Linked DNA regions of Notamacropus eugenii. The protein of the gene in region 3 purifies or fractionates together with the protein of the main gene of each other region. This does not show direct contact. Links are inferred from orthologs where the notes say so. Each region holds a gene or a part of one and is shown on either strand. Other genes may lie near its edges.

Evidence for each region.
Region 1: the proteins of KPNA6 (region 3) and RNMT purify together in Homo sapiens (co-immunoprecipitation; 3 studies listed by BioGRID and IntAct, counting the BioPlex papers as one, with this or other methods). This does not show direct contact. The link is inferred for Notamacropus eugenii from reciprocal best matches to the Homo sapiens genes KPNA6 and RNMT.
Region 2: the proteins of KPNA6 (region 3) and CHD8 purify together in Homo sapiens (affinity purification with mass spectrometry; 4 studies listed by BioGRID and IntAct, with this or other methods). This does not show direct contact. The link is inferred for Notamacropus eugenii from reciprocal best matches to the Homo sapiens genes KPNA6 and CHD8.
Region 4: the proteins of KPNA6 (region 3) and KPNB1 purify together in Homo sapiens (affinity purification with mass spectrometry; 4 studies listed by BioGRID and IntAct, with this or other methods). This does not show direct contact. The link is inferred for Notamacropus eugenii from reciprocal best matches to the Homo sapiens genes KPNA6 and KPNB1.

Annotation. Positions count from the first base shown.
Region 1 is NC_092875.1:228,469,290-228,476,584, reverse strand, and holds the start of RNMT (mRNA cap guanine-N(7) methyltransferase), read left to right. Parts: upstream 1-4,279; 5' UTR 4,280-4,367; exon of another isoform or gene 4,368-4,949; intron 4,950-7,295. UniProt on the Homo sapiens protein: Catalytic subunit of the mRNA-capping methyltransferase RNMT:RAMAC complex that methylates the N7 position of the added guanosine to the 5'-cap structure of mRNAs. Binds RNA containing 5'-terminal GpppC.
Region 2 is NC_092878.1:12,473,495-12,480,764, forward strand, and holds the start of CHD8 (chromodomain-helicase-DNA-binding protein 8), read left to right. Parts: upstream 1-4,265; 5' UTR 4,266-4,465; intron 4,466-4,840; exon of another isoform or gene 4,841-4,860; intron 4,861-7,270. Other genes in the region: RAB2B (ras-related protein Rab-2B), read left to right, coding at 60-171, 980-1,048, 1,803-1,910. UniProt on the Homo sapiens protein: ATP-dependent chromatin-remodeling factor, it slides nucleosomes along DNA; nucleosome sliding requires ATP. Acts as a transcription repressor by remodeling chromatin structure and recruiting histone H1 to target genes.
Region 3 is NC_092876.1:77,691,498-77,698,690, reverse strand, and holds the start of KPNA6 (importin subunit alpha-7), read left to right. Parts: upstream 1-4,179; 5' UTR 4,180-4,279; coding exon 4,280-4,298; intron 4,299-7,193. UniProt on the Homo sapiens protein: Functions in nuclear protein import as an adapter protein for nuclear receptor KPNB1. Binds specifically and directly to substrates containing either a simple or bipartite NLS motif.
Region 4 is NC_092873.1:353,612,384-353,619,618, reverse strand, and holds the start of KPNB1 (importin subunit beta-1), read left to right. Parts: upstream 1-4,232; 5' UTR 4,233-4,374; coding exon 4,375-4,414; intron 4,415-4,582; coding exon 4,583-4,641; intron 4,642-7,159; coding exon 7,160-7,235.

The DNA.
Region 1 (7,295 bases), on a different chromosome or scaffold from region 3:
CTGTCCTCATTTTCTTTTTCTTTGGATAAGAAGTCACTTATCCCGATGAGGTTCCTATCCTTTCAAGCCCATGTCCCTGTCCCTCCTGGTCGGTGAGAACCAGGCATGAAATATCAATTTTCTTTCTTGGTTCTTCTATCTTATAAAGCAGGAAATTATATTTAAAACAAATTATGATAATCTGAACCATTCTGATTTGGGCAGGGGGAGAACTTCAGCACATCTGAATAATTGAAGACTTTTATTACTATCATGGTTAGCCTTTGAATTGTTTTCCATGTTCCTCATTCCCTTCTTCATTCTGTGCAGTTGCTCTACACTGCACACAGACAACAGTCTAACTCCTATTTCTGCCTTCACTGCTCTTCACCCAAATGTTCTTCCCTTCTGGGTTCTAGGTTTCCTCACATGAGTATTATCTACTTAATATCCTTAGTCTGCCTTGCTTGTTACCTAAGCATTGTGCATTTATGCCATGCAGCTGAGTCCATGTATTTTACTGCTGGCTCCTTTCTTAAATTTTGTCTCTTGTGGATTTCTAGGAGGGTCTGCTGTTAATCATCTTCCACCTGTAGCTGTTTAGTCATTTTCCAGTTGTTTTCAACTCCTCTTAACCCCATTTGGGGTTTTCTTGGCAAAGATGCTAGAATGGTTTGCCATTTCCTTCTTTAACTCATTTTACAGATGAAGAAACTGAGGCAAAAAGGGGTAAATGATTTTCTCAGGGTCACACAGCTAATAAGTATCTGAGACCACATCTGAACTCAAGATCAGTCTTTCTGACTCCAGGACCTGCACTTTATCTACTGTGCCACCTAGAAGCCTGATACTGCAGCTACTCTCTCTATATAGTATAGTGGATGTGGGTGAACATATACACATACTCATATATATAATATATATACACACACAGTAGACATAAGTAGATAGTTGTCTTTGATTAAGATTGCAAGATTCCAAGTAAATACATCTTTAATTGCCCTCTTTAGGGATATTTCATTCCTGGCCAGAAGCCTATGGTCCACAAATCCCAATCCTGTTCTTAGTTTTTTCTTATCCAGCAGTTTCTGGTGAAATCTTCCTTCTTCCTCTAAAACCCTTATCATAAGCAATGATAAAAACAAACAAGCAAACAAAAAGAACCACTTGTGCCCTGTAAGTCTTTAAGACTCCATAGTCTTATTTAATTTAAGGAAAAATTTCTTTCAAATTAGTTTTCCCAAAAGGGAATGGGCTTACTTTGGAAATATCATGTGGCCTTGTTGAAGAAATTACAGCAAGATGATCATCTGTAGGATATATTGCAGAGAGGAAGGTATGGATTGTATCAAATGACCTCTGTAGTTCCTTCCAACTTTTTGAGTTTCTGTGAAGTTACCTGTCGGAGTGGGAGAAGGTAGGCACCAATGTAAATCTTATTTTTAAAAAATATTAGTTATCTCATACTGCCTTCTAGTTTAAGAGATGTGGAAATTAATGCTCAAGGAGAACTAAGTGACTTGCTTAAGTCAAACAATAAGCAAATATTGGACTAGTGTACATGTCTCCAAATGCCTGGTCTAATGCTCTTTCCATTACACCAAACTATTTGCTCTAATTAATAGTAATAATTATAATTGACATAATAGTTTTTGATTCAAACATTTCCATGGAGCAAAACTCTTACTTTTTGCTATCCCCTTCCCAGACTCAAAACAGAACAGCTCAGTTAAATTGGGCTTTAAAGTTTGTAGACCAACATTATCTCACTTGATCCTTATAATGATTCTGTGATGTAGGTGCTATAATTATCCTCTTTTTATAGATGAGAAAACAAGCTCAGAGAGGTTAATTTAAATGCCCCAAATCACACAAATATTAAAAGCCTGAAGCAGATTTAAAATTTAGGTCTTCTTAACTCCAAGTCTCCAGCTCCATATCCACTACTTAAAAATCTCTCTCAAAACCTTATTCTACCATTGGGAAGAATTTCTTTAATTTTTTTTGTATTTGTAAATGTCAATTCTTATGTCATATATAGAGGTTTGCAATGGAGAACTTGCTTTCTAAGGAACATGTGACACTGAGAACCACTAAGAATAGCAAGTTCTCCTGACATTGGTAATTACAAATTTGAGAGGAGAAATTCACACTCTTCAAAGAGAACTCTTAGTAGGAAGCAGAGTAAATTCCTCAGGCTTCTCTTTCTATTCAAGCCACTGTAGATACAAAGTAGTGAGCCTCTCTGAAATTGGCTAAAATGAAGGACTATGTAACAATTATTCCTGCCTATAACGGAATCTTTTTCAGTTAGTAAACAAATATTTATTAAATGCCTACCATGTGTCAGGGCTTGTGCTTGACAGGATCTACCAAAGCTTGTGTTTTATCTGGCATTACTTGAGGATCTAGCTAAACTTCAAACTCCTTTTTATTTTTTATCATCTGTACCGCCCTCTTCCCTCCATTATTATTTATCACACTTTGCCCTGCCCTAATTCTTGCACAATGGATCCTGATTCATTCAGAGTTGATAAAAGTCAAACCAAAAATCATCTCAGTATCTATGAAAAAGCATTGATCAATGAGACGTACATACCTCTTTTGATTCCTTGGAATAACTCCAGTATATGCAAGCACATGTTTTCCCTCAAAATTAGTTATATTAAATTTTGGTGTAAGAACCAAAAGATTTAACACTAAGAGAACCTCATAGAATTAGAAATAAAGTCTGCTGGATGATGAATTCCTAATGGTTCCTTGGAACTGTAATGAGAATCACTAACTTAAGGATTTGACTTACAAATTATTATTTTAAAAATACATAAATGTGTACCAACTAAATAGATAAAACTAGTCTTTAGAAAATATCTTCACAAATACCATAATTTATATTGAACAATTTATAGTCAATATAGTCTTTTCAATGTCTTATTCCAGAATCAGTTCATGAGGTGGTATGTACACAGGATTGAATATCGACTAGTTAAACTGAAAATATATATACATGCAGCCTTGTAATTTCTCCTTCACAGAATGCTGATACCAGTTGCTTTTTTAACAGAGTTCTGACAATAAACTCTGACAGGAGACAAAATTCATCTTTTTTAAAACTTTCCTTAAAGACTGTGAGATCGGCCTTGGGGGTAAAGTAATTCAAATTGAATGGTGAAGCACATTTTCACACTAATCCCTTCAGCAGAAGAAGATAGTTTTCAACAACATCTACATATGAACACAATCAACTAATGATTTGGCTTATCTCTACTGCAGGTCGTTAGAAACAGTCATATTTGCAGACCAGCGTGTCAAATTCGGAATAACGTGGGTTCTCACTCCCAGAGAGTCCACACAGTTGTGACTGCCCTCATGTAAAAGGCAGCCACGCGCGAGCAGCGGGGCGCGCGAGGTTCATCACACACATCCCCTGCCATCTCTCCAAAGAAGCACGTGTGGCCTGCCCACCCCAGACGCGGTGCCCTCCCAACCTACAGAGGCCGCGGCGCGGTTACAGCTCAAGAAAACGGGGGGCGGGGTAGGCCTGTGTTCTTGGAGGGGGGAGGCGGGGAACTTCCAGTCGTGGGTAAGAAACCAAACAAAATAACAGAAAACTTCTAGGGGCACCATCTCAATGTTATGACCGGGGAAGAGGGAGGGGAGAGGAGAGAGGAGCAAAGGGCATATGGAGGAAAAAGGACAAGGGCTGTCCCTCGAGAGAGAATGAGGGCAGAGGAGGGAGGAGGGAGAGCCTTGGGGCAGTTAGCCACCACAGCAGGGCAGGTCGTGCCCTTCCCCCACTGGCTCGGGTAAAGCAGTTGGCCACGAGCACCAGGTCCGTCTCCCACTTCTCTCCCCAGCAGGGACGACCCTGCTCTTCCCCACGGCTGTGGGGGTCAGCGACGCCCCCTCACCTCTCCCTTCTCCCGCCCCGGGAAGCACAGAGGCCGAGGTACCTCGGAAGACGTTGGGTCCGTGGTCGCAAGCCCTGACAGGGCAGATTTTCCGGCGGCAATCACCGATAGGAGACGAACTCCCCCCAGGGTCCCCGTTGAAGCCAGTGTGACCAGGCCTCCCCTTCACCCTCCCCAGACCCAGGCGGCCAGGGCGGTCATTCGCTCTCTTCAGCCAGCCTCGCCCAGCCAAAACGTGCTTGCGACCTGCCGGGTGCCCAGCTCGGAGCCTCCAAGGCAAAGTCCGCACCAAGCACCCTGGGAAACGTAGTTTACTTAGGAAGAGATACTCCAAGTGCGAATGGGGAGGAAACGTAAAGCGCATGCGTTCTGTGGAAATGAGTTTTTTTCTTCCACCGCCTTCCGGAAGTTGCGTAACAGCCGAAGCGTGGCGCACTTACTACTTCCGCAAACAGAATGGCGGAAAGCTTTACTCAGGTAAGTGTTAGAACGGGAGGCCCTGTCCTTTTCCACTCCCAGTGTGCCTACTACTCTCTCGCTCTAGCCTCTTGGGGATTCTTTCCGTCTCGGAGGTAGAGACGCTTATTCTGACCTGCATTAACCATTGCATTTATACTAGGCATTCGTTGCGCACCGTGCTTAATATTCGGCCCCGTGTTGATTGTATTATGTGGCGGGGAAGGAAGTCGGGGGTCCTTGTGGGGGGTCGGACGTGACGTCGCCCCGGCGCGCTTGGCGGTTGAGCCGGCTACTGCAAAGGTGGCCCGGAGGGAGGGCGAGAGCCGAACGTCGGAGCCTCTCGGGTGGGTGCCGCAGGACCGCGGGGAACGACTGGAGTCCGGCTGGAGAGGTGCCTGTTCGTGCTTCAAGGGGCGGGGCTTGCCTTCGGTCCGGGCGACGCGCGCGGTGCCGCTCGAGATGCTCCTGCGGGGGTGGAGGGAGCCGGTAAGAAGTTTCTAGTACCCGGCATGGTAACCCGGGTGAAGGAGGAATGCTGCGAGAGCGGGGGAAGACAGTGACTGAGCGGCGGAGCCTGCGGCATCCGAGCTTTTCTTTTAAGTACGGCGCGGAGAAGGGGGAAGGACTGGGGGCCGCCTCCCATTCTATTCCCTCTTCGGGCCAGCGGCGGGGGGCTGGAGGGGTCCGCGTACTGGCGGGCTTGGAGCGCGGAGCCTGTGGCCCTAGCAGTCTCCCTGGGCCTCGGCACTCGGCCTCCCCGTCCCTGGCTCGGCTGCGCCTTGGGGCGCTGGAGTGAAAAGCTTTAAAAGGGATAGTGCCCGAGACGTGACGTCATGGCCCATTGAAGAGTTTCTTCGCCCATCTGTTTGCTCGGATCACCCGGGAGGTGTTTTTGTGGCGTGAATTTATCCTTCCCAACTCACTAGGGCTGTTTGTGGCAAGTTCTTGATTGGTAATTCCACTAATATAATATAAACTTGTATTGAAGCGTTAATTCTTGTCTCGAAGTCGTACTCTGTCCCCCCTCTTCCAGGTAAAGTCATTCATTCTTGAAACATTTTTTTGTTTGGTAAACTATGTGGAAATGAAAAAAGAGGACAGCCCCTGTAAAGGAAACCCACAACTTCTGATACCCTTTTTCAACTTCTTAACATTAAAAAAGTTCTTATTTTCAAATCTAATTTTACTAAAAATTTTCAGCTTTAGAGATGTATTGAATTGGATTTAATATTTTGATCATGTTTTGTGCATAATCCTGTGAACAGTAAGAAGATAGCTAAGAACCTGGTCATGAGGAAGTTATATGCTAGTAGAGGTGGGGGGGGGAAATCACGATACATTATGCTGGGAAAAGTATAAACCACAAAGAGATTACTTAGTACGTTAGGGTCATGGTTTTAAAAGCCCAATTAAAGGAAAGAAGTATTTTGAAAGTTTTTGTGATTATTTCTGCAAGTGTTTTTGTTTTGGATGTAGGCTTAGAATAATGATGAGTAGAAGTTTAGAGTTTGGGAGGGGAATTCCATTTAGAAAGAATGGTGGGCTAGGCAGAGGATTCTTGACTTGTTCAGTCTCATTTGCATCGACATAATAAGGCTAGAGACAGATTGGGAGGGGTTCAGAATGTCTCTCATACAAAATCTGGTGCTTTGAATAACTATTGGGAAACCTTTGAAGGTTTTAATCAAAAAGAGTGACTTGAGTCACTTTGGGAAGCTTATCCTGGCACTTGCTTTTTTTTTTTTTTCTGGAAGTAGACCAATGACATCTGGAAGGTGATGTATTAGATATGAATGGGGTAGAGCTTCTCAGAGTTTCAGTCTCACTCTTTCCTCCAGTCATTAAAATGCATTAAAGACAGCTGGTGATGGCCTGGGATGCAGTGGGTGACTTCCTTTCTAAAGGTCTTTCCCAGGTCTCAGTTTGTCTGAGGCCACATCCATTCAATGACTAAGGGAGTGGAGACAAAAGATGGCTTTATTTACCATCACAAATATATCTATCTTGGGAGAGAGGGGAAATTCCTCCAAGTTTCTGCCTAGAACTGAAACATTACTATAATCTAAACTATGAGTCACTGAGGCTTTGGTTGGAGCTACTCTTGGCTATTCTAGGAAAGAAGAGTGATTTGGGTTTTAAAAGTCTGTCTTTTCACAGGTATACTTCAAAAAATTAAAAATTAAAACCAAGCTGGACAAAAACTAAATTGTACTAGATTTTTTGGGGGGGTGGGGGCACTAAATAAGTAAAAGAAGATGAAACAAAGCAAGAATGAAAACAAGCCAGGGTAGCATTCTCCAGCTTCTGCTTAAATTGGCGGGTTGGGTCCCCTGAGAGGACTGTTACTCTCGGATAACATGGTAAAGACATTTAATACAAAAAGTTCTATCAACAGTTCAGTCCTTCCTACAAATTCAGCCATTGTTGTGTTGAGGCTTGTGCGTGAAAAGATTTAACTCACAGCACCTGCTCTGGAAGTTGTCCTCCCTCTGTGTAAAGACTTCATGCAGAACCCCTGTTCATCCTTCCTTCTCAAAGAGAACCAATGGCATCTTGAGGGTGGTGAATTGTGTATGAGTGGGCACCAAGTCATCAAAAGTTCAGTGGTGAAACAAAGATCAAGACAACTGATGATGGCCCAGTATCTAGCCCCTGTATAATACCTTGAAGGAGACAATGGGATGAGTTAAACTTTTGTGGAAGTGTAGGGGAAAAAAAATAATAGGGGCTAGGGTTAGGATATTTGTGATGGAAATAAAGAGGACAGAGGCATGACAGAGAAGGGTCAGATTTGTTGCTTGATTAGGTGGATGGATGAAAAGTACTACAAGGTTCTCCTCTGAAGACAAAGAGATTGGTAGTGCCATTAGCAGTTAAATTTTAGAAATGAAATGGACATGCTTGGGGCATGTCCACCTAGAGGACTTAAAGCAGATGATTGAAAAA
Region 2 (7,270 bases), on a different chromosome or scaffold from region 3:
AAGAGTTCCCTCTCTAATATGGATCTTTCTTTCCTTTTGTCTCCATCAATTTCTTTCAGTGACCTAGAGTCTCGACGGGATGTGAAAAGGGAAGAAGGAGAAGCCTTTGCTCGGGAGCATGGGCTTATCTTCATGGAGACCTCAGCCAAAACCGCCTCTAATGTTGAAGAGGTACTGCCCCAAAGGGAGTGGAGAAAATGATGTAGGGACTAACAGGACATTATTCTTACCTTTCTTTCAGAACTCCCTTCCCCAATAGCACAAAGTCTTCTTGGTAAGGAAAGGAGTAGTCTTAGTGGATTGGGGAAACAAGTGCTCTCTTTTTATGGAATTATTCCATTTTAACTAATTCCTAAGTGGTCAAATAACATTAATAAAATGTGGTATATACAGCACTGTTGGGTAGCTGCATAACTGATTAGAGGCCTACATTCATCTAATATTTTCCCCAGTGGTTTGTAAGATAAGGAAGATGCTCATTCAGTTTGTATATAATGTACATATCTCCCTTCCTTCTTTGCAGAGATGGGGGCTGCGCTGGTGGAACATTTCATATTCCGTCAGACTTGGTTGTTATGTTGAATAGTTTTGTTTAACTTCCCCCCTTCCCCTTTTTTATTATTCTGTTTTACAAGGGATAGCTCTCTGGAGACAGAAGATTGAGGGATATATTTGAAAATGAAGGTGATATAAAAGCAAAAGACATCAGTATTTTTTTAAGTTTAAATATGACACCAACCCGAAAAGATCTTGGGCCAATACTGAGGATGGTACTGAAAATCTTGGGAAGCATTCTCTAAGAATCTTAAGAAAGACTGTGCCGTGGTTATTGAGACTTCCTATGATTTTCTTCCCTGTCTTCTATAATTCCCCCTTTCACTCTTTAGATATACAACAGAAAAAAGCTATTGCATTCTTTCTCTTATTTCTCTATATTCAGCTCTCCTTGTCTCTATGTGAATTGATTTGTTTCCTTTAGGCCTTCATTAACACAGCCAAAGAAATATATAGGAAGATCCAACAGGGCTTATTTGATGTCAACAATGAGGTGAGAAGGGGTGATGCATGTCCTAGCACTGGTTTATTTTAACCTGAATAAGATAAGGATTTTCCTAGAATGTAGGTTTCTCCCATCTGTTGCCTTTCTATTTAAACTAAGGCAGTTTAAATCTGACTTTTCACATGAGACTTCAGGAGACCCATTATTTCTTCCTGGTTTCTTTTGATGATGCAGAATGAGTGGTTGAAGAAATAAGTGGTTAGTAATCATTTCATTCACTGTTTAAAATTTTTCTTTTTTACAGTCCTTGGGTATGGGGAAGTTATAAACACTATCAATTAGAAGGATCCATCCTCTTCTATACAATCTGGGGTGAAAACAGAAGGGAGAAACTTATTTCCCATATCTATCCTCCCTTTCTCTCTTTCCTTCCCACCACATGTATGCATGTTATTGTGGCTCAAAAATTTAAACATAATAAAGGCATATATGTATATATATGCATATATGTGTATATATATAAACATACACATACATATTACAAAAACAAAACCTCCACTAATTCTAGACAATTCTATGTATTTCTATTACAGTTAGCCATTATATAACTACTGATTGACCTTGCAGCTGTTTAGTATGCACCTACAAGAATTGTTCACCTTCCAAGGCCCCTCCTGCCTTTTGGAGAGTGATCAGTTTTTTCTTTTGTTTTGTTTTGTTTTATTTCTCTCTCCCTCTTTCTTCCTGTCTCTGTTCCATTTTAACACTAAGGTTTGGGGATATTTCTTTTTTTTTCTTACAGGCAAATGGCATCAAGATTGGGCCTCAGCAGCCAGCCTCAGCATCATCAGGACCCAGCTCATATCAAAGGAGTTATGAAGGCACAGGTGACAGCTCGAGCTGTTGCTGAATTTCTGGCCATAGTATCTGGTCCTTCTTGGAACAGATCCCACATGCAGCAGACTTGAGGGAAGGGGTCCTGGCTGCTTAGGCCAGGGGAGCCTCATCCCCAGGTGTGATATCCTGCCCTTCCACCCGACTAGGGAAGAATTTGTGCCCTTAACTGACCAGTTCCTCTTTGGGGACATGAACATTTCCTATAGATTAGGGCTCCTCCCTCTTCCTTCTCCCCTCCCAACTCCCATCCTCATCTTTTAATTTCTGAATTGTTAGGGGCAAGGCTGAGACTCACTAGAGTTCAAAGATAAGCAAACACTGATTTTTTTTTTAGCACAACCCTGCTGCCCGTTATGAATGTTAACAAGTGTCAGAGATCTTCTGAGTGAGCATGTCAAAGAGTAAGGAACTGGTGTACCATGTGGGAATGGTTTTGTCAGCTTGGGAATTTCAGCAGCCTTTTTATTTCCTTCCCTTTGGGGGTCCGTTTGCTACTTTTTCAAAGACCTTGTAGGGAACATATAGTTCCTTCTGCTAGAGCATTTAGAGATAATGATCAATTTTCTATGTCTGTAAGCAACTCCTTTCCATTGTTAATTTTTATCTCTTAGGGTCCACTTTTAGAGAAGTAACTAAACTTCTTGAGGCAGTCCAGGACCAATGGTCTTTTTCTCTATGTAGGACCTAGAGAAAACAATCTTTATTCTTGTTCTTTTAGAGACTATATCTAGTCAAGACCCTCAAACAACTGAATCTTTACTATCTGACCAACCTCATTTCACTACAGATCCTCCAGTCAAGCAAATCTGCTTGCTCTCCTCAGCTTGTTACACATGACTTTTGTTCCTTCTTCCTTGCTTTTTTACATGCTAATCCATGTTCTTCAACTTAGTGAGTTTAAGAATAATTTATGACCCAAAGTCAACCCCACCAAATTCTAATTGGTCTAATACTCAGTGCTACTTCAGCCTTTATAAACTCAGTATTATGTTAATTTGCACGTTTTGTTTCTTTGTAAATGTATCATTGGTTGTTTATGTGGAGGACCTTTCTTCCCCACATAGAGGTCAGGGACCATGTCTTCTGTTTTGTGCTTCTCCTTCCTTCCCAGTTCCCTCACAGTGCTTAGTATTGCACATAATATGTACTCTATAACTCTGACTGACTTCAAAGACATAGAACAGCCTTATTGTATGCCTTTTCTGAGGCTTTGGAAGCACCTTTTAGGAACTATATCCCAGTCTCTTCTAACGGCTGATCCTGGGTTCCATATTTTCATTTTTTCCCTTCTTAGGATCCATGTTCATTTGCCTTCCCTTTACCATATCCAGGATCTTCACTTCCATTCCATGCAGACCTATATAGGAAGGCTGACTGCCGCTAGGCCAGCAAATCAGCATGCACTTTTCTAGTCAGTCCTGTATTACAAAAGCATATTATGCTATCTTCCAAACAATTAGCCCTGCTCCCGTTTCCCATCACGCGTCTTCCCGGTCCAGCCCCTGTATCTTTCCGCTTAGGTCACTCAGTCCCCCTTTTCCACACTGGTGCCTCATGGACTTTATTTCTTTACTTTCTTTTTTATTATTATTTTGCTGTTGAATTATTTCATTATTAAATATATGCATGCGTCCAACCTGCTCCCCTTCCATGTGTCATTTCTGAGTGTAACTGTGGGAAGGCAGCGGTCCAAGAACTATCCCCGCTGCAGGGGACGGGTCAGAGGGGCTACAGAATCTTCCTGGGGCCAGGACTCGCCCCCGCTTTTGGGCCTAGACTGCAGAGTTCTTCCCCGAAGCTCTCCTTCGGGCCTGCGGAGGGAGCCGGGCAGGTTCCCCGGCCCAGATTCAGCACCCCAGGAACTGACAGCTCTCGGGAGAGAGGAGCGAGCGGAGCGCTCTCCGCTCTCGGGGGCTCTGCCCACGCGGGATCCAGCCTGGCTCCTCCGCTGGGGGTGCGGGGAGAGGCGCGGGCGCCGGCCTGCGCCGGGGCGGAGGGAGGCTCGGGGTCACCCTCGGCGGGGTCCATTCAAGGACGCCCACGGGCTCCCCGCAGGACGCAGGGGAGTGGGGCAGAGAGGCTGGAAGGAAGGTGTCCACCGCGTCCCCCCCACTCAGCCACCCCCGCCAGCCCGTCCAGCCCAAGATGGCCTCCCAGGAGCAAGCCACTGGGTCTTTCACTCCAGAGCTCCCCCAAAAGTCGGGGATAAGAGAGATGCCGAGGACTTCCAACCCCCGGGGACCAGAGGGTCAAGACGACAGTGCCACCTCATTTTGTTTTCAGTCAGGCACTGCCTCGGGCGCCTACCCCGCTCGGCTTCCTAGGACCCCACCTTCCCTTCCCTCCAGAGACTTCCTGGATGGCGCTCACCCTACCCTGCTAGATGAGTCCAGGGCCCGGCCACGCCATTGGCTGTTGCGGAGCAAAGTGGGCGGGGACTGGGGAGAATGGACTACCAGCAAGTTAGGCTGAGGCAAGGGCTGACCATGCTCCGCCAGAAGGCGCCTTGTTCTCTGCACGGGGCGAATTGAAAGCGGCCCCGTCCAGGAGGCAGCGGGACTCTTTCAGGTAGGCTCCCCCGGGCTCCTCTGGGGGGCCCCGGGGCCTTCACCTCCTCTTTCAGCACGGGAGCTCCACTCCCCTTCTCCTTCCCTCCTCCCCCTCCTCCCCCGTGAATAATGGGGGATCAGGTGCTGCCGGGGGATGCTCCGGACTGAACCATTCTCCTTTGTGAAGGCGGAGGGAGGGAAGCGGCCTCTGTGCAGGAAGGAGCCGGGTTAGGCTGGGGGGGCCGCGCCGCACGTTGCAGTCCTTGCACCCGGCCTCGCATCGTTGTGTCCTTGCATGCTGGGCGTGGTGTGGACTTGTGGCAGTGCTTCCTTCCGTCCGGAGCCCTTCTCTCCCTGGGAACAAACTCCCAGTTCAGTGGAATCCGAGGTGGGAGGCTGGGTTAGTATAAAAAGGTAGGTGGGCAGGGGCAGGGGGAGGGGGTCTGCTTGGGAGTCCTTAGTGGAAGAGGGAGGTGGGGTGCTGGAAGGACGGGGGGCTTCAGCCTGGCGTCTGCGGTGACAGGTCTGCGGGGCTCACGGACTTGTTTTCTGTGGCATTATGTAAACTCTCTGGGAGGAAGACCCCGCCTCCCACCACACACTGAATCCATTCCTTTATTTACCTGGGTCTGGTGTCGCAGGAAATATCCCTGCCCATTGCAGCAGCTGTGGAAATGCAGCAGCTGTAGTGTTTTAAAGGGGCAGCCACCCGAGTGGATGGCTTGGACTCGATGTCTTGGGTGGTAACTAAGCAGAGTGATCGAAGAAGTCCTTGAATGAGACCCTAGAACTTAGCGTCCTCCGTAAGACCGATACCGATGAGAGGTACTGAATTGAGAGCCCCCAAGACACTTTTGGGCAGCTACATTAATCGTTCCATTACTTACCAGTCTTCCTAGTGTCCCTAAACCATTCAGACCTTTTTGTTTTCCCCAGCCTGCCATCTGTGACAGGAATGACTATGAATTATCAGCATTAGCTAATTGAGGACCCGCTGAGGGTATGACGATCTCTAGGGTGCTAGAAGTTAGGTTTTGGTTTTTTTTTATTTTAGTCACCTTCTTCTACTAACCAGTCAATGTCAATGGTTCGAAGTACTGATTTTCTGTAAGGGGCACTGAGTAGATAGCAGGGGGAAAAATTTTAAAGGAAAAAAAAACCCGTGGTTACTGCTAGTGGTTCAAACTGTAGGAAGCTCCTTATTCTGAATATTTTGGAGTCATCCAGTCCTGTAAGGGAAAAGGAGTTATGATAGGGAATGAAACTGTTACCGTTTGAGAGGCCCTTCTGTGTTTCAAGACTGGAATGCCAGAGAGCCTGCAACGCAGGATAAAGGACATTGGTGAAGTAATATATATGTCTCTGTGTGGTTGGGGGTGGGGAGAGTGTAAGACTGGAATAGCAAAGGAATGGTGGGTCAGGATAGAAGGGATTTGATGGAGCTGTATGTGGGAAGCTAGCACGGTTCAGTTCTGCTCTATATTTAGTTGTAGCTAGTGCATTTGGCTTTTGATTTTGCCAGTGCGGAAATTGACAAAGTCCATTTAGATGCTACAGAAAATGAAGTGAATTTGCTGAGCTGATGGTGAATCACTAGCAAACAGTCCGAGTGTTTCTTTCTCTGCAGCACCGCAGGATGATGAGGTGGAGGTTTGTTGGCAGTGTGGTATCCATCACTGCAGACTGTTGGTTGGGATGGGGATAATGGAACATTATAGTTCGGGAAGAGTAGTTCACTGCTAGTTGGCCTAGGAGACAGCAAAGGATTGAGGGGGTGGTGTAGTCAGAGCACCTACGTTAGAGAATTGTTGTGAGGATCAAGTGAAATAATGCATATAAAGCACTTCTGGAGTAACCCTTAAAGCGCCACATAAATTCTAGTTATCTTCATCAAAAGACGCTCTCTTGTCAGTCTGCTTGGGATAGGAGGGATTCTTCTAACCCAAGTGTACTGTTCAAGAGATAGAAGAATGAGAACTGTATTCCCGTGTAACTAGCAAGCCTGTAAAGTGCTAGGAGACGCAGTGTTTGTATTCTCCAGGATGAGTTATTTTCTCCCCAGCTGACGTTAAAAAGCCTAAAGTATCCGTGTGTGAAGAAGGGTCATTGACAGTTACTGTTTACATCACTGGAATCTGCTTAAGCAAACTTGAACCTCATAGGATTGATTCTGGAGATTTCCTGGACAGATTTCTTGAACCTACATGGAAAAGTCTACCTTGCTGAGACTGACCTGGAACAATTGCCCTAGGATTTGACGGGAGGGACATTTGACCTATTCTGAGACTGTTACGTTTTCCATTTATAAATTAGTGTCTTTTTTACTGGGATAATTATGCAGTTCAAATTGTTATTTCAGTTCTAGGGTATTGTTTTAGGATTGTATCTTACTCAGTTTAACTCCACTTCTTTCTGTAGCCATTTTTCCATTAGTTGGATTAGTTTTCTCTCTATACCTTGCTGGTAGCCATTTGACTATAAAGTACACATACCTCATTTCTTTCAATTGCTTCTCTCTGATTTTAGTTCTCTTTCTTTTCTATTATAATTCCCTGACTTTCCTGTAATCTTTCTGTGTCTTTCTGGTATTGAATGCCTGCAACTGAAGTAGAATGCAAAAAATTACGAGGGCCTTCCCAGGCCTGTATAAAGAGCCTTGGCCTCAGTTGAAGTGTCTTTGGCACATGATGCCTAAGAGACACTTGTGTTTTTTCATGATGCTCTCTGTGTTGCGATTTATCGTTCCCTAAAATTTTATTTGACCACTAAATCTATTCTTAATTTTTTAAAAATGTTTTTTTCTGCTCTCTACTTTTTTAACATG
Region 3 (7,193 bases):
GATTTGAATATACTTTGGATCCATTCTCTCACCCTGACCCCATAACCTGGAAATTTTCTTTGCTAAATAAGCCAGACTTGCACATGCAGTGACCGAAGGGAAGATAGGGCATCTGGTCCTATTCTGTTTCACTGTCACATGTTCTTGAACAATCAACAAGAATTTATTAAGTTTCTACCCAAGTGCCAGATCCTCTGCTAGGGGTACAAAGACAAAGTAAAGGCCACACTCTCAATCCATCAACAAGAATTTATTAATACTTGAACAATTCATTAATGCTGGCACTAGATGAGAGGCAGTGAATACAGTGAACAAAATAATACCTCCCCCAAGGAGCTCTCATCCTAATGGTGCCTGCCGGGGTCTACTCTAATTCCTGGTTGTTCCACATGTGCTGGCATCTGGTACAAGAGCCTAATAAATGTTCATTCATTTTTCAGAAATGTTTAGGACCTTGAGAGCCTCTCTCCTGCTGTCCACCACCAAGCTTAACAGTTATTCCTTGAGGAAACCTCTTTGCCACTAAATGAAGAGAATTTGCCTCCCAGAGACAGTTTTAGGCTAAAGTGTGTTTTTAGGCCTAATAATTACAAAAGGTGAGACTAGACTGGGCCTCTGACTCAAGTGTGAGACCCTGGGTTAATCTTGTCAACCTATTCATAGAAGCTTAGAATGCTTAAGGTCTAAAACTCCTTCCTGTCACCTGCACCTTTACTTAAACCTTTTCCCAAACCTGTAATGTACCTTCTCTTTGCCTAGAATTCCTAACTTCTCTCCGCTCAAGAGCCAACCACCTCTTCCTCCTCTTCTATAAGGTCTTTCTTGGTTAGTGTGAACCCCCCACCCCTTATTATGTGTCTTGCATATCTATTTACATAGATACAGCTTGGTTCCCGATAGAATATGTGCTCTTGGTTGCCAGGGACTGCTTTGTTTTTGTCTTTGGGTCTTCAGCTCTTAGTATTGTGGCCGGCAGATGGAAAGTGCTTAATAAATAACTTGCTGATTCATTTTTTACGAAGATTAGGTCCTGAGGGTTCCTGCCGTCCCTCTTAAAGAAAGGTTCCAGACCAACTGTAAAATCCAAATGTAAGTGTGACATGGGAGTGGTAGTATAGAGTACTGACCTTACCACGAGGGAAATAAGACATTTAGGTAACAGAGGCCCAGAGTCCCAGGCAGGAGCGCTTCCCCTGGGTCCATGAACTTGTTTTTGTTTGCATCTGTTCATCATATTTCAGTAAAATTCATTTCTTTTACATGCCTACGTGTCCGTGCATTTTAAAACCTTAATTCTGAGCACAAGTCCCAAATAAAATCTCCCCTTCTACTGGAAACCTTTCTGGTTCTTTCTTTCTCTTCATCGTTTCACCGTTCACCTTATCTACATCACTGAACCGTCCGCCGGCTCGTTGCGAGCGTCTTGGGGGCAGGGACTCCCTTTGCCCCGTCCCTGTATCCCGGCGCTTCTGGCGCAGTAACCGAAGAGACTGGCAGCCTCGCGGGGCCGCCCAGGAGGGGCTGGCCGTCTGGGCCGGCACTTTGCTTCTTGTGGGAGCTCTTCACGGCATAAACGGCACGTGTGTGATACTCGGTCTTGCGGAAGCGCGCTTCTTCCCAGGCATCCGCTGCTTCTGGACTTCTGGGCACCCGGCGCTCTCCGTGCCCGGTTATTACCCACAAGCCGGACTGCAGGTCAGGGCGCCTGCTGCCCTACAGGCCCCGCGCCGCCTCCTTCCTCTCGGGGGAGGGCTCGTTCGCACTGGCCGTGTTACCCTTCTCCAGCCTTGATTTAGTCTGGGAGCTGAAGCCCAGTCCTCCAGAGCAGGGGCAGGAAGCCCTCCCGCCGCTGCCGCTTCTCCTTCCGGAGCGCCCCCTCCCCTCCTCGGGCCGCGTGGGGGCGGGGCGGCCGGCACTCGTGAAACCGAGGGGCAACAATAAGAGGTTTCTGAATGCGCAACCACCGGAAATTAACTGAAAATCAAATGCTTAATGAATTCCAGGTGGGCACTTTGCACTGCGCATGCCCGGAGGCCCCGCCACGCCGCAGAGCAGGGGTCAGAGTGGAAAACATGGTAGCCCCGCTCCACAACCTAGCTGCCAGGCTGTTACCCAGCATTAGGGTGAAGATTAACAGTCTCTTTCATTCTTATTTTTAGGAAGCTTTTTGTTAGGTCAATGCAAAAACCTATTTCGCTGTAATCTGCTGTTCATGCTAATATGCCATGGGTCTAAGCAGGATAAATGATCCTTTTTCCATCCACATCTTCTCCAAGTGAAGCACGTCTACTTCCTTCAACAGACGCTCCTCATGTGGCCTGATTTTGAAGCCCTTTGCTGTCTGGGGTGTCATCCTCTTGATTCTCAATTATTTTTTTTCTTAAACGAGTGCCCAGAATTGAATGTAATATTCCAGATGACAGGGGAAAAGACAGCGAAATTCTTTGCTCCCTTATTGTGGACACTCTGCTCTAGCCCAAGATCTCATCAGCTTTGATCAAGTTACTATTTTATACTGTGTGGGATGGCTCAGGTCCCTACATAAATCAATTACTCAGAGGCCTCTCAAAGTGATGACAGAAAAGTGATTTATTCGATTCTCGAGAAGTGGGGTTCACCTGTAGGAGTAGGAAAGACAAAGAACAGGACAGTGATTTATATAGACCCTAACGCAAGTCCCTCCTCCCCCCACTGACCATTATCCTCATTAGCTGAGAATATGGTCTTACATTCTAGACACGAAATCTAACCAATCCCTTTTGAAATGAAGACATCGAGGAATTATGTAAGTTTTGTCCAGTCATTGAGACCCTAATACACTACACAGTTTTATATCCTTATATGGAACTATTCTATTCTAAAAATATTGTAACCTTGAGCCTTTAGGCCTTACCTCACCCCTGGGAGAAAAATTACAATCTGAGGAGTCTTCACTAAGTATCCCACTCAATACTGATGATTCATACTCAGTTTTCTGCCACCTAAATTCTCAGATCTTTTTCAGGTGACCTCTTTGATATACCCTCCCCTCCTGGTTTGTTGTTGTTCATTCATTTCAGTCATGTCTGACTCTATATGACCCCATTTGGGGTTTTCTTGGCAAAGATGCTGGAGTGGTTTCCATTTCCTTCTCCAGCTCATTTGACAGATGAGGAAACTGAGACAAACAGGGTTAAGTGACATGCCCAGGGTCACACAGCTGGTTAGTAAGTGTCAGAGACTAGATTTGAACTCAGGAAGATGAGTCTTGCTGACTCCACACCCAGCTATACGTGACCATTTAAAAATAGCTGGCTGGTTTTTTGTTTTTTTTTAATGTAAGGTCTTTGAAGACAATGGGCAGGTTTTTTTTCAAGAGAAATTTTTTTTTTGAATCATGATTCTTTAAAAAAAAAGATAATTCTCTGAGCCAAAAAAATAAATAATTTTAGTATATTTGGCCTATTGCTCTAACCCATCCAAGGTTTTTTTTTGGATCCTGACTTTGTCATCAAGTATGTTAACTCTCTTTCCCACCTTTGTGTCTGCAGATTTGTTGAGTGTTCCACCTTTGTCTCATCCAAATTATATCAGAATATAGGCTTCTTGAGGGCAAGAACTGTTTGCCTCTTTTAAATCCCTAGCACACTAAATCTAGTGCCTGGCACATAGTAAATGCTTGTTGGTTGATAGTAAACAGTACAAGAATGGAACATTCTGATAGAAACTTACTTCCAAATTGGTAACCCATCTGTTAATAACTACTTTGGGGAACACTCAGCCCAATCCAGATCCCTTGCCTATACTGTGGTGCAGACTATATTTCCCTGTCAACAAAGACTAGCTGGAGAATGTGATTTTCCCCTCCTCCCACCATTTTACAGCTAAAGAAACTGAGACATAGAGAAATGATGTAACTAATTTAAGGTCTTCTAGATAGCAGGTTCCTGAAGAGTGAAAAAAAGTGAATTTCTGCCACCAGCTTGAATCAAGGAGGCCTCCTTGGCCCATGGCATAGGCACAGACACAGATCTAAAAGGACCTTTCTGATAATGTTTCTTCCTTTGGACCTTGTTCTATGGTAAGGTAATGTTTTGATGTGAATTTGTCCTTAATAATCATTATAACTCCCCTTCCTCGGTCCTCCAGTGAAGTCATAAGCCAGTATTTGTGAGATATTCTCCCTGTTGCCATAGTGACAAAAATACAGTCATATAATCACCTTTTTTAGCTCCCCTTGTCAGCTCTGTGCCAAGGCAAGCAGAGGAACAACCACCCTGAGTAGATCTGGATCTCAGTCATGAAAAAGCAACTGTCAGGTAATGAAACTCAATAGGCAACACTGGCAGCCTTTTGTTACCTATCTGTACTGAATAATCATTAGTTACCTAGGAGTGTCCAGAGAGTGTCATCAAGCTTCCTTGCTTTTGTGCTAAGTTGACTTGCACTCTGCCCAGTGTGACTGTGAGCTGCTTGACACATTCTAAGAACTTGGAAGGAGGTCCCAGCCCAGCTTATCAGATAGCCGATCTTCACCTCTCCCCCAACACAGCCTTATTGGGTTTCAACAACTCATTGGAATGTCTTTCATGTCATTGTACTCCATTGACAAAATATCCTTCATTCCTATCTGCCCAATCTTTTCACTTTCTATTTTTAATCTCATAAATTCATTTTTAAATCCCTGAAGCCTTGAGACTGCCATAAAAGCCATAGAATTGCAGGACTCCAGAGCTAGAAGGTGCTAGCATTCTAGTCCAACCTGTAAAAGTTGAAAAGACTCCTCTAAAACATACTTAGAAGTAATAGTCCAGGATGGGAGGGAACCTACTCCCTCCAGACAATCCAGTCAGCATTTGGATAATTCTAACTGTAGGAAGCTTGTCTATGCAAACCAAGCCTAAACTTGCTTATGCACTTTTACCTTGCCCTCCATCCTTCCTTGCTCCTTCTTTTGTTCTTTGGAGCCAAGCGGAACCAGACTAATCCCTTTCCTGTGTGGCAGCCCCTCAGGTTCTTGGAGACAGCTATCATATCCCCCCACCAGGCCTTTTCTTCTCCTGGCTAGACATCCCCAGGACTCATTCTCCTCTCATAAGGTTTCATGGCCCTTCACCATTCTGATCCATATTTCTGGATAGTTTCTATCTTTTATCAGTTCCCTTCCTTAAATGCTGTACCTGTAGTAGTGATGGAAGTAGTAATAGCAGCGGTAGCAGCAGTTACTAGCACTTAATTGCACTTTGAATGTGGCAGGCATTGCCCTGAGCCTTTTACAAATATCTCCTTTAATCCTTGCAACAACCCTGGGAGGTTGGTGCTATTATTGTTATCATCCCCATTTTATAGTTCAGGAAACTTAAGACTGACAGAAGTGACTGACAGAAACCCCTGATTGGCTCTGAGTGAACGTAAATAGTGATTGTTTCTGTTTTGGTCAGAAACCCTGAGAGTCTTTTCCTCCCAGATTGATTTTTTTTTTTTTTAAAAACTAGGTAAAGAAGCCAATCTCTGCCTCATTTTTATTAGGCCTCAATCACTGAATGAGTATTGCCTCAGTCAAACTGAGACCTGTTAAAGACCTTAGCTTAAAAAGGCAAGATCTAAGGCAAGATCTCTCATTGCATCTTGGGCCCTATCCAGTTGTCCTGATTCATATCTGGCCACTGAACCCAGATAGCTTCAGAGGAGAAAGTGAGGCTGATGAAGCCCTCCCTTACTTAAATCCAACTCACTTGTATGTCATGGCATCACCCTCTTGAGAATGAAGGACAGACAACAGCCACCATAAGCATACTAATCCAACTGTGCAGTCTTTAGGGGCTACTGACTACCTTATCATACTATTGTAGAGTCATTGAATTTTCACTCCACTGAAACTCCCAGATTGCTGCTATCCTCCACCTTACCTGTACAAAGTTCATTGTTTGAACCTAAATATTAGACTCTACATATATCTCTCTTAAATTTCGTCTTAATTAGATGTGGCCCAGTGTTCCAACCTGTGAATTCCCTTTTGATCCTGACCTCCAAGGAGTTAGCTTTCCTTCTCAGCTAGCTTTGTGTCATCTTTAGATTCAGCAACCAACGACCTTTATTTAATTCACTGATAATAGATTTTTTTCATTTTCAGTATCAAATGAAGAATTTTTACATACATAATAAAATAGAAGGAGAAGGTTGCACATGAAAACTCGAGTTCTATTATTTACAGCCTTCTTTTTAATCAATATCAATAAATCATTGATAAAAAGGTCCAAGTACAAATTCCTGAGTTTCTCTGGTGGAGATCTTTCCAGTTAACAATGACCTATTAATGACTATTAGAACAAGGTTATGCCAAACTTTTGCATTCATCCTCTGTTGCCTGCCCTTGCATCTAACTGGTGTATATGTATTTTTGAAATTTTATTGTGGCTGATGAATTCCCTGTGTTATCCTTATTTGCCTTTTTTTTTTTAAGATAACTTCCTTTTTTTCTTATTGGAATTTTCCTTTCATGTCAGTACAGTTTCATCAAAAGTTTCTGATTTATCCACATAGTTTGCATAGGATAGAACCCCATGTGGGCAGTCTTCTGCTTCCTAGCTGCCTTTCACAGCACTGATTTGTATCCTTTACACAGGTTAGAGAATACCTAGAAAATACTGGTCTTTTGAGTCAGAAGACCAACTCCTATGCTTACATTCTCATAAGATTGGTGAAAGAAAAATACTTTGTAAACATTACACTGTATTATATATAAAATTCAAAGACTTGTTCCTGTGAAGCCCTTTATCTTGAGCTTTTCCGGATATTTCTTGAGTATATCTGTGTAGGAAGGGAGTTAATGTAGTGGTGAATTTGATGTCTGGGGACCTGAAATGGAATCCTAGCTCAGCTATTTACTGTCATTGTGGTATTGTATCACTGTGGTAAATAAAATCTCTAAGCCTCTTTCCTCACGTGTAAAATGAGCTCCAGATGCTGTGGTTCTATTAGTAGAGGCATCAATCATTCTCAATTCGTGGAAGATAGAATTTGATTTGGACTTTGAAAAATAAATAGGCAAAAGGAAAAAGGGAGGGCATTCTCAGTAAGAGGAAAAACATGAATGAAGACAGGCAAGAATAATGTTGGGATGTCTATGTAGGAGACTGTGCCCATTTGGCAGATGGGAAAACTGAACTATGATGCTCTTTGTTCAAGGACAAGCATGGAACTGAGGATGAGGT
Region 4 (7,235 bases), on a different chromosome or scaffold from region 3:
CCTATCAGATTCCATTAAACTTTAGTCTGAACCTACAACCTTGAGTACTAAAATCAGGGTACAGGTAAAATATTCTAGGCTATACTCATATAGCTCAGCATGACAGCCATAAACCTAGTGTTCATACATCCAGGGGCACTGATGAGGTCTGCTACAATGTTCCCTCTGCTCCTTTCACCCTCAAACTCTAAGCTATCCTGTTTCCATCATTACTACTCTTCCATCACTCCACACACAATAAATCTCATGATATGAAACACAAATGAAACTATGGCAGACCTCCCCCATTCTGAAGCAATTACTAGCTGTGTAATCTTGGGCAAGTCACTCTTCTGAGATTCAGTTTCCTCATTTATAAATAAGGGGAGCAGACAGAGTGACTTTGGGGGTCCTTTCTAAGTCTAAGTTTGTGTGACCCCCATTAGCTTCAGTGTTTGTACAGGGGCTCACCAAACATGTTCACAATTGCCCTGGAAGCTACCCACACACAATCCGCATGGAAGAGTGATTTCCTCCATAGATGAACTTAAGATCTTACTGTTCAAGGATGACATAGTGCTGATTTTCTTTAAATACCAGAATACTACTAAGTATCCTCAATGAGATCCTCAAAAATTGAACAATCCACATGGGGGAAAACCAAATGGATGAAAAAACGTGTATTGTTTAGGCACACTAGATGGGCATTCAGTTGGATGGGCAGCCCATTAAATTAGTCCATCAGTATGCATCTCTTGCAGAGGCACATGTCTCTGGATGGACAATGAACTGGCAACTGAATAGGAAGAAATGAATAGACTGGATTGCATTTGGAATATTATCCCATGTTTTCAAAATCTAGAAGTGTTTCCTGAAATGACCACTTATCATTTTTTTGTCTTTATAGGTTTATTTTTATTTTTTTATATCACAATCATTGCCTTTAATCCCCTATATCTGTTGTCCAGGGCTAAGATTAGTTATAATTAATCAGAGTTTTACTGCCTCCTCATATAATCCATCTTGTTGCTTTGATTTGGCACACTTATTTTTTTCAAACCTGCAAAATCACAGGTCTCCCTCAACCAGAACAGGTCTGCTCAGTAACTTAGTCTTGGAGATCTGCCTGCAGCACTGAAAGACCAAGGGTGCTTCCCAGAATGAGACAGCCAGTTGTCAGAAGTAGGGCTTGAACCTAGGCCTTCTGGCCTCTCAAGGCCAGCTCTCTATCCAATGTGCAATATTGCCTTCCTAATTCATCTTTTCACAACATTCTTCTAGTGATGCTAGATACATTGTTAAGTGCTTAATAAAATATCTGTTGCATCGAACCAAATCATTTCATGACTCCAATTGCCTACTGGATAAAGATCAAATTCCTTTGTCTTTTAAGACCCTCCACAATCTAGTGCCAGCCTTATCTCAGACTCTTTCCTTCCACATATTCTGCCCTCCCCTCAAATTAGACTCCTTGATGACCCCACACATCCTATACTTTGCCACCTCCAAATCCTTTCTGCTTCTTGTGACTAGATGTGTTCTCTACCTACCTCGCAGAACCCTAGGGGGCTAAACTCCTAGACCTCCTTTAAAGCCTAGTTCATATTCCACCTCTTAAGTCTTTCTTGATTCCTCTACTTGGTATTAAACATTTTGCCCTTGAAACTTGCTTAGTTCTTGGCTGGTATTCTCATGTACCCACTTTAAAGTTTTGTAAAGATATTCATAGATGTTTTTTCTTTTTTTACACTGTGGAACTGCCCAACAGTGTCCCTCTCCCCTGAGAGATCCCTCCCTGGTCACAAACGAAAATGTCTTGTCCACTTATACATTATGTCTACCAGTCATTTTTGTGTGTCTTGCCCTCCCTACCACTCCCATATATGCTTAGCAACATTGTCTCACCTGAACTTTGTATCTCTCCCCATACCTAGCACATGGCAAAGACTTTTTATAAAGTCTGATTGAATGGGGTCCAGTGGTTGTGAAGCTCAAATAACACAAATGATGTTAACTCACTTATGTAACTACTTTCCCCCTAACTATTGAATGAGGAAGGCCGTAGGATTTAGACCCAGAAGATATTTTAAGAGACTACCTACTCCGACTCCTTTGTTTCAGAGAGGATCTTAACAATTAGAATAGTTAAAAGATAGGATGAACTCCTCATCACTTGTGGGCTTCAAGGAGATTAGTTCAACTTTAGTAAGCAAATATTAGTGTCTCCAATTTAAATAAAGCAAAAACAAAATGAAAGAACTGTGACTTGTACAGTGGACAGCTCTGAGGGCTCTATGGACTAGTTGTGGTTTGACCTCTAGACCCTCCCAACTCTTGACTGTGGTTTGATTAAACGGAGGGCCAGAACAGAGCCAGGATTCGAATTGGTCTATCTGGGTTTTACAGTTTCCAAATCAAGTGTGTTCTAACAAGTAGATCTAACATGCCAGAGGAAGTCCGAAGATTCAGAAGCACTGTCTGACACGTTTCTAGCTTCCTCTGGGGACTTACGTACAGGATGGAAATTGAAGCCTCACATGTTCTATTTTCTCATGACCTCTTGGAATCACTTCCTGCTTCAGCTTAATTTAAGCTAACTTTCCTTATTCCCTTATTTATGGCCCATTCCCCAAATACTTTATGTATACACATTATATTTTGTGTACATATTCTTCTCCTTCCCTTATGTTAAAGCCTCAAGTGTTCTACCACCTCACAACCTTTTGCAATGTGTAGTTCAGCTTAATTTAAGCTACCTTTTCTTATTCCTCTACATGTCTGTGGTCCACTCCCTAAATACTTTATATATGCTCATTATTTTGTGTATATTTTTTCCCTTCCTCCCCTGGAGATTGGGGCCGAACCATCCTTGTTTTTCAACTCTCAGGTCCTAAAACAGTGTCAGCACTTATTAAATGCTTAATGAATATTTAATACGGTCAATTCTTGCTCCAGGAGCAAGTAATTTTAGGTATTTTAAATGCTTTGATTTTAAACACACCCCAATACTGGAAGAATCTGTGATTTCTTCTGCAGTAAGGCCACTCCCTTCACGTACTGATAAGTCCCAGGGCTGTGCCTCAAACATGCAGAGCTAAGAGAGCAGCTCTGGATTACACAGCTCGCAAATTTAAGAATTAGGATTTGAACCCAGATCTGCCAGAATTAGCACGTTTATAACGAGGCTGATAGCCAGGGGCGTTCAAGTAAACACCTACATGAATTTCCACTTCAGCGGACGTCTGCAGCGAACTTACCTCGTCAGGGCACCACACGTGCCCTGACACTCCAGGTACGGCCCCGGCCCCAACCCCGGGCCACCCACTGGGCCTCAGCACAGTCGGGCATAAAGCCCGCGCCGAAATCAGTTAGGAAAGAAGCCCAGCACCGCGCCCGCGCCCGGGGCCTAGACCGACCTCATCAAGCCCAGCTCAGGGTCTGGGCGGGGGCGTCCTGAACGCCGACTTGGGCGCTAAGATGCCGGCCCGCCTCTTTCCTGAGGTATCCCATGGTGCCCCGCGGCCTTCGGCCGCTCAGAGCATCCCGCCTTTCAGACCGAAGCGACCCCGAACTCCTCTACTCAGTTCTCTTGAGTGCCCGGCCTCAGTTCATCCAATCGATTCCCAGCACCGCGTCCAATCAGAACCCTCCGGGGCTTTCCCTTCTATTACCCCCTCCCTTCCCCACCCCCAGCCAATGCAAGCACAGCACCCTCATGAGGCGGGGCCAATCGGCGGGCGGCTCCGGGCAACCTCTCTCCCGCCCCCCCACGCCAATCCGCGCGTCCTTCCCGGCCGCCAGCCCATCCAACCGGAGCTTCGCAGGCAGCGGGCGAATAGGCACGCGGCGGCCCTCCGGCCCCAGCTGGCGGGCCAATCGGGAAGTCCGCGTGGCCTCGGTGGGGGCCAATCGGACTGGAGCGCGGTGCCGCCGCGACGAGTTCCGGCCCGGATATCCCTCCGCCTCTTCTCTCGCTCTCTCTCCCCGCCTGCGAGCCGCCGTTCACTCACTGACTCCCTCCCACCCTCTTTTCCTTCTTTCTCCCTCCGCCGCCCCAGCACCAGCCGCGCTCCGACTTGCCCCCGGGGTCCCTCCCCCGCCGCCGCCGCCACTGCCACAGCCGGAGGAGCCAAAGCCCTCGATACAGCAGCACAGGAGGAAAAGGAAGGGGAGGTGGAGAAGAGGCAGCCAGGCAGGAACGCGGGCAGGGAAGCCGGAGCGACCAGTAGGAGGGAGCCGGTGAATGGGCTTGTGGTGACCCCCGCCCCCCCACCCCAACCCTCCCTTCCCACCCGGCCCCCCAACCCCCCGTCCCCCATCACAGCCATCGCCGCAACCGCGGGAGTCTGAGAAGCCGGAGCCGCCCGAGGAGGAGCCCGAGCCCCCGTCGCCGCCATGGAGCTGATCACCATCCTCGAAAAGACCGTCTCGCCCGGTACGAGACCGGGGTTGGGGCTGGGGCTGGGGCCGGGGCCAGGGCCAGGGCCGAGGCCGAGAGATGGGGCGGGGGGATGGGACCGAGGTGATCTGACCGGGGGAGGGGAAGCCCCCTCTTCCCCCTCTTCGCGGTTCCCCTGACCCCCTTCCTTTTCCTTCTCCACAGATCGGATTGAACTGGAAGCGGCGCAGAAGTTCCTGGAGCGGGCAGCTGTAGAGAACCTGGTGCGTTTTGCGCCTGGCCCCCTCCCATCCCCCCAGGCTGGGGCCTTCCCGCCCTCCCCGGGGCCCAGGCCTAGGGAACCCACCCCGCCCCATCTCGCCCCCCCTCCCCCTTCTCCCTCCCTTCCCCCCCTTCTCGGACCAACCTAACCCCGCCATCGGGAAGCCGGTGGGTGTGTCCCGCCCCAGGCCCCGGCAGCCGGCCAATAGCGAGGCGCGCCGGGCGAGGGCTGCCCAATCACCGCCCGGCCTGAGGGCGGCGGTGCAGCGGGAGGGAGGGGAAGTTAGGTTGCGCGGCGCTGCGTGTTCAGTAAGGGTGGGGGTTGGGGCGCCGGGGCCTAGGGACCATGTGGAAGCCCTAGGAGCCCGGCCAATCGCCCCGCCTAAGGGCCTGCTTCTCCTTTTCCGTGGCCTTTCTCATTCTCAGTCCACTTCATTGAGCTGGTCTTTTCCAGACTCTGCCTCCATAGTCTGGCCTGGTAGCCCCCAAATCTCCTTTCACTTAATGCCCATATTTTACCCCCTCCTTGAGTGTGGGTCTTCTGCTGCCATCATGGAACTGGATGGGGATAGAGTTTTAATCGGTCAGGGAGTTGGTCTTAGACTAGGCAGTGTGGCCCAGAAATGAGGAGATGAGGCCTATTTCCTGTTGCAGTTTCAGAGGAAGTATTTTGCTATTCTTACTTTCCAGATTTTAAGAATATGAAAAAATTATGCAGTTCCCTATTTGATGGGGAGCTGTTTCTCTGGATAAAAATTTAGGGTGGATTGAATGAAACAGCCCATATGCCAGTCATGTTCCCCTTTTGGTGTTTTTCTTATAAAACTGAGATTGAGATGTCTGCGGCATAATGTCCTCTTTTAAATGGTTGAAGAACCATAAAATATTCTAAAAATGTTTTTTTCTGTCACTTAAACTAGACGTAAGGTGAACCTCATGCCAAAAGAAAAAAATTATGGATGGTTTTTTTAGACTGTTTTTAAGTGATTTAGTCTTGTGCTTTTAAAGGTCAGTATTGGTTGACACTACAATTTTAGCTATAATTAGGTTATTTTATTTCTTAACTGGCCTGTGTGTGCCCTTCACGTTTTGCAGGCAAGACCTTTTACTGATATAAATGAATCATTTGTTTTATTTTTGTGAAGAATTGTAAGAAATCTGTTTGACTTGTTACTTAATAATGTGTTGCCTGTTGAGAAGATTAATTCTTGCATGTCTCAAATTTCATAGACTGGCTCTGCCCATTTGTGGCTTAGCTTATGAACTTTGGGAGTAGGGTTGAGAGACTTTGGGGGAGGCTATATTCTGTTTGTTAAATATATCTGCATTTATAAGTAGTTGGGGCTTGATGGAGCTTCTTGCAGATTTCTAGCTTCAGTAGAGTGCTCAGCTTCAGTATGGTTAGAAAGTCAGGAGCAACTGATAAATATAAATTAGTAAATGACAGTAGTTTGTTGAAGTCTTGCCTTACAGTTTCTCACTTCTATTTTTGAAATTGAATCCTTAGTTCTAAAAGTTTGGTCCTTGTTGCCAACCTTCATATCTTTTACCTTGCACTTATTCTTCCCAATTTTCATTTTATTGCCATTTAATGCTTCTGGCTTATTTTCCCTTTATAGTGTCTTTGAATAGGGTACAAAGAAGGTTCCTGAAGCATTATTTTACTTTGAGTTTACATATAAGTAATTACAGAATTTCAGAATTAGGAGGAACCTCAGTGGCTAGTTAGTCTCTTTTATTAATGTACTTGACAAATGGTCATCTAGCCTTTGCTTGAAGACCTTTAATGAGTGGGAACTTCCCAAGGCAGCCCATTCTTCATTTGTAGAATTTTACATTGTTAAGAAACTTATATCGAGCCTAAATTTTTTTCTTCTACTAGTTGCTCCTACCTCTTGTCTTTTCCTTCCTGCAAAAATAAAGCTGACTTTGGAGGGAAGGCTTAGGAGAGAATCCTGACTCTTCTAAAATAGCCTTGTGACCATGGGCAAATCACTTTGCTTATCTGATCTCTTGTATATAATGGGCATGATAAAGAATTTCCAAGACCTGCGGAGTTCTAAGATTTACTGAGTCAAGAATCTAGTCCATTTTGGATGAACATTCCTAGAAGGTAATTGTCAACTTATTCCTTTCCTGCATCTGTCCATAGAAGAAACCTATTGACTGACAGGTAGATCAACAAACTAGCTTTGAGTTTGAACAGGTTAGCTGTGGACATAAAGACAACGTATAAATGACATCAGTCAGAATGAAAAACTATCCTACTTTTATTTATCTGAGTATAGGAGTTGGGGAGAAGGATGGTGAATATAGAGTATCCCAAAAGTCTTAGTGCAGTTTAAAGCATGTTATTGGTGTATGAGCAAAACAATTAAGTGGAGTTTTGAAGTTGATATTTTAAAATTTTTATAAAGACCTTTTGCTTTTTCCCCCATGAGTTGCTAACCAAGCTAACCTTAATCTGGGAAATTCCCTGAGGCTGTTACCATTTACAAATATTTTTCTTCTCCTAACCAGCCCACTTTCCTTGTGGAACTGTCCAGAGTGCTGGCAAATCCAGGAAATAGCCAGGTTGCCAGAGTTGCAGCTGGGC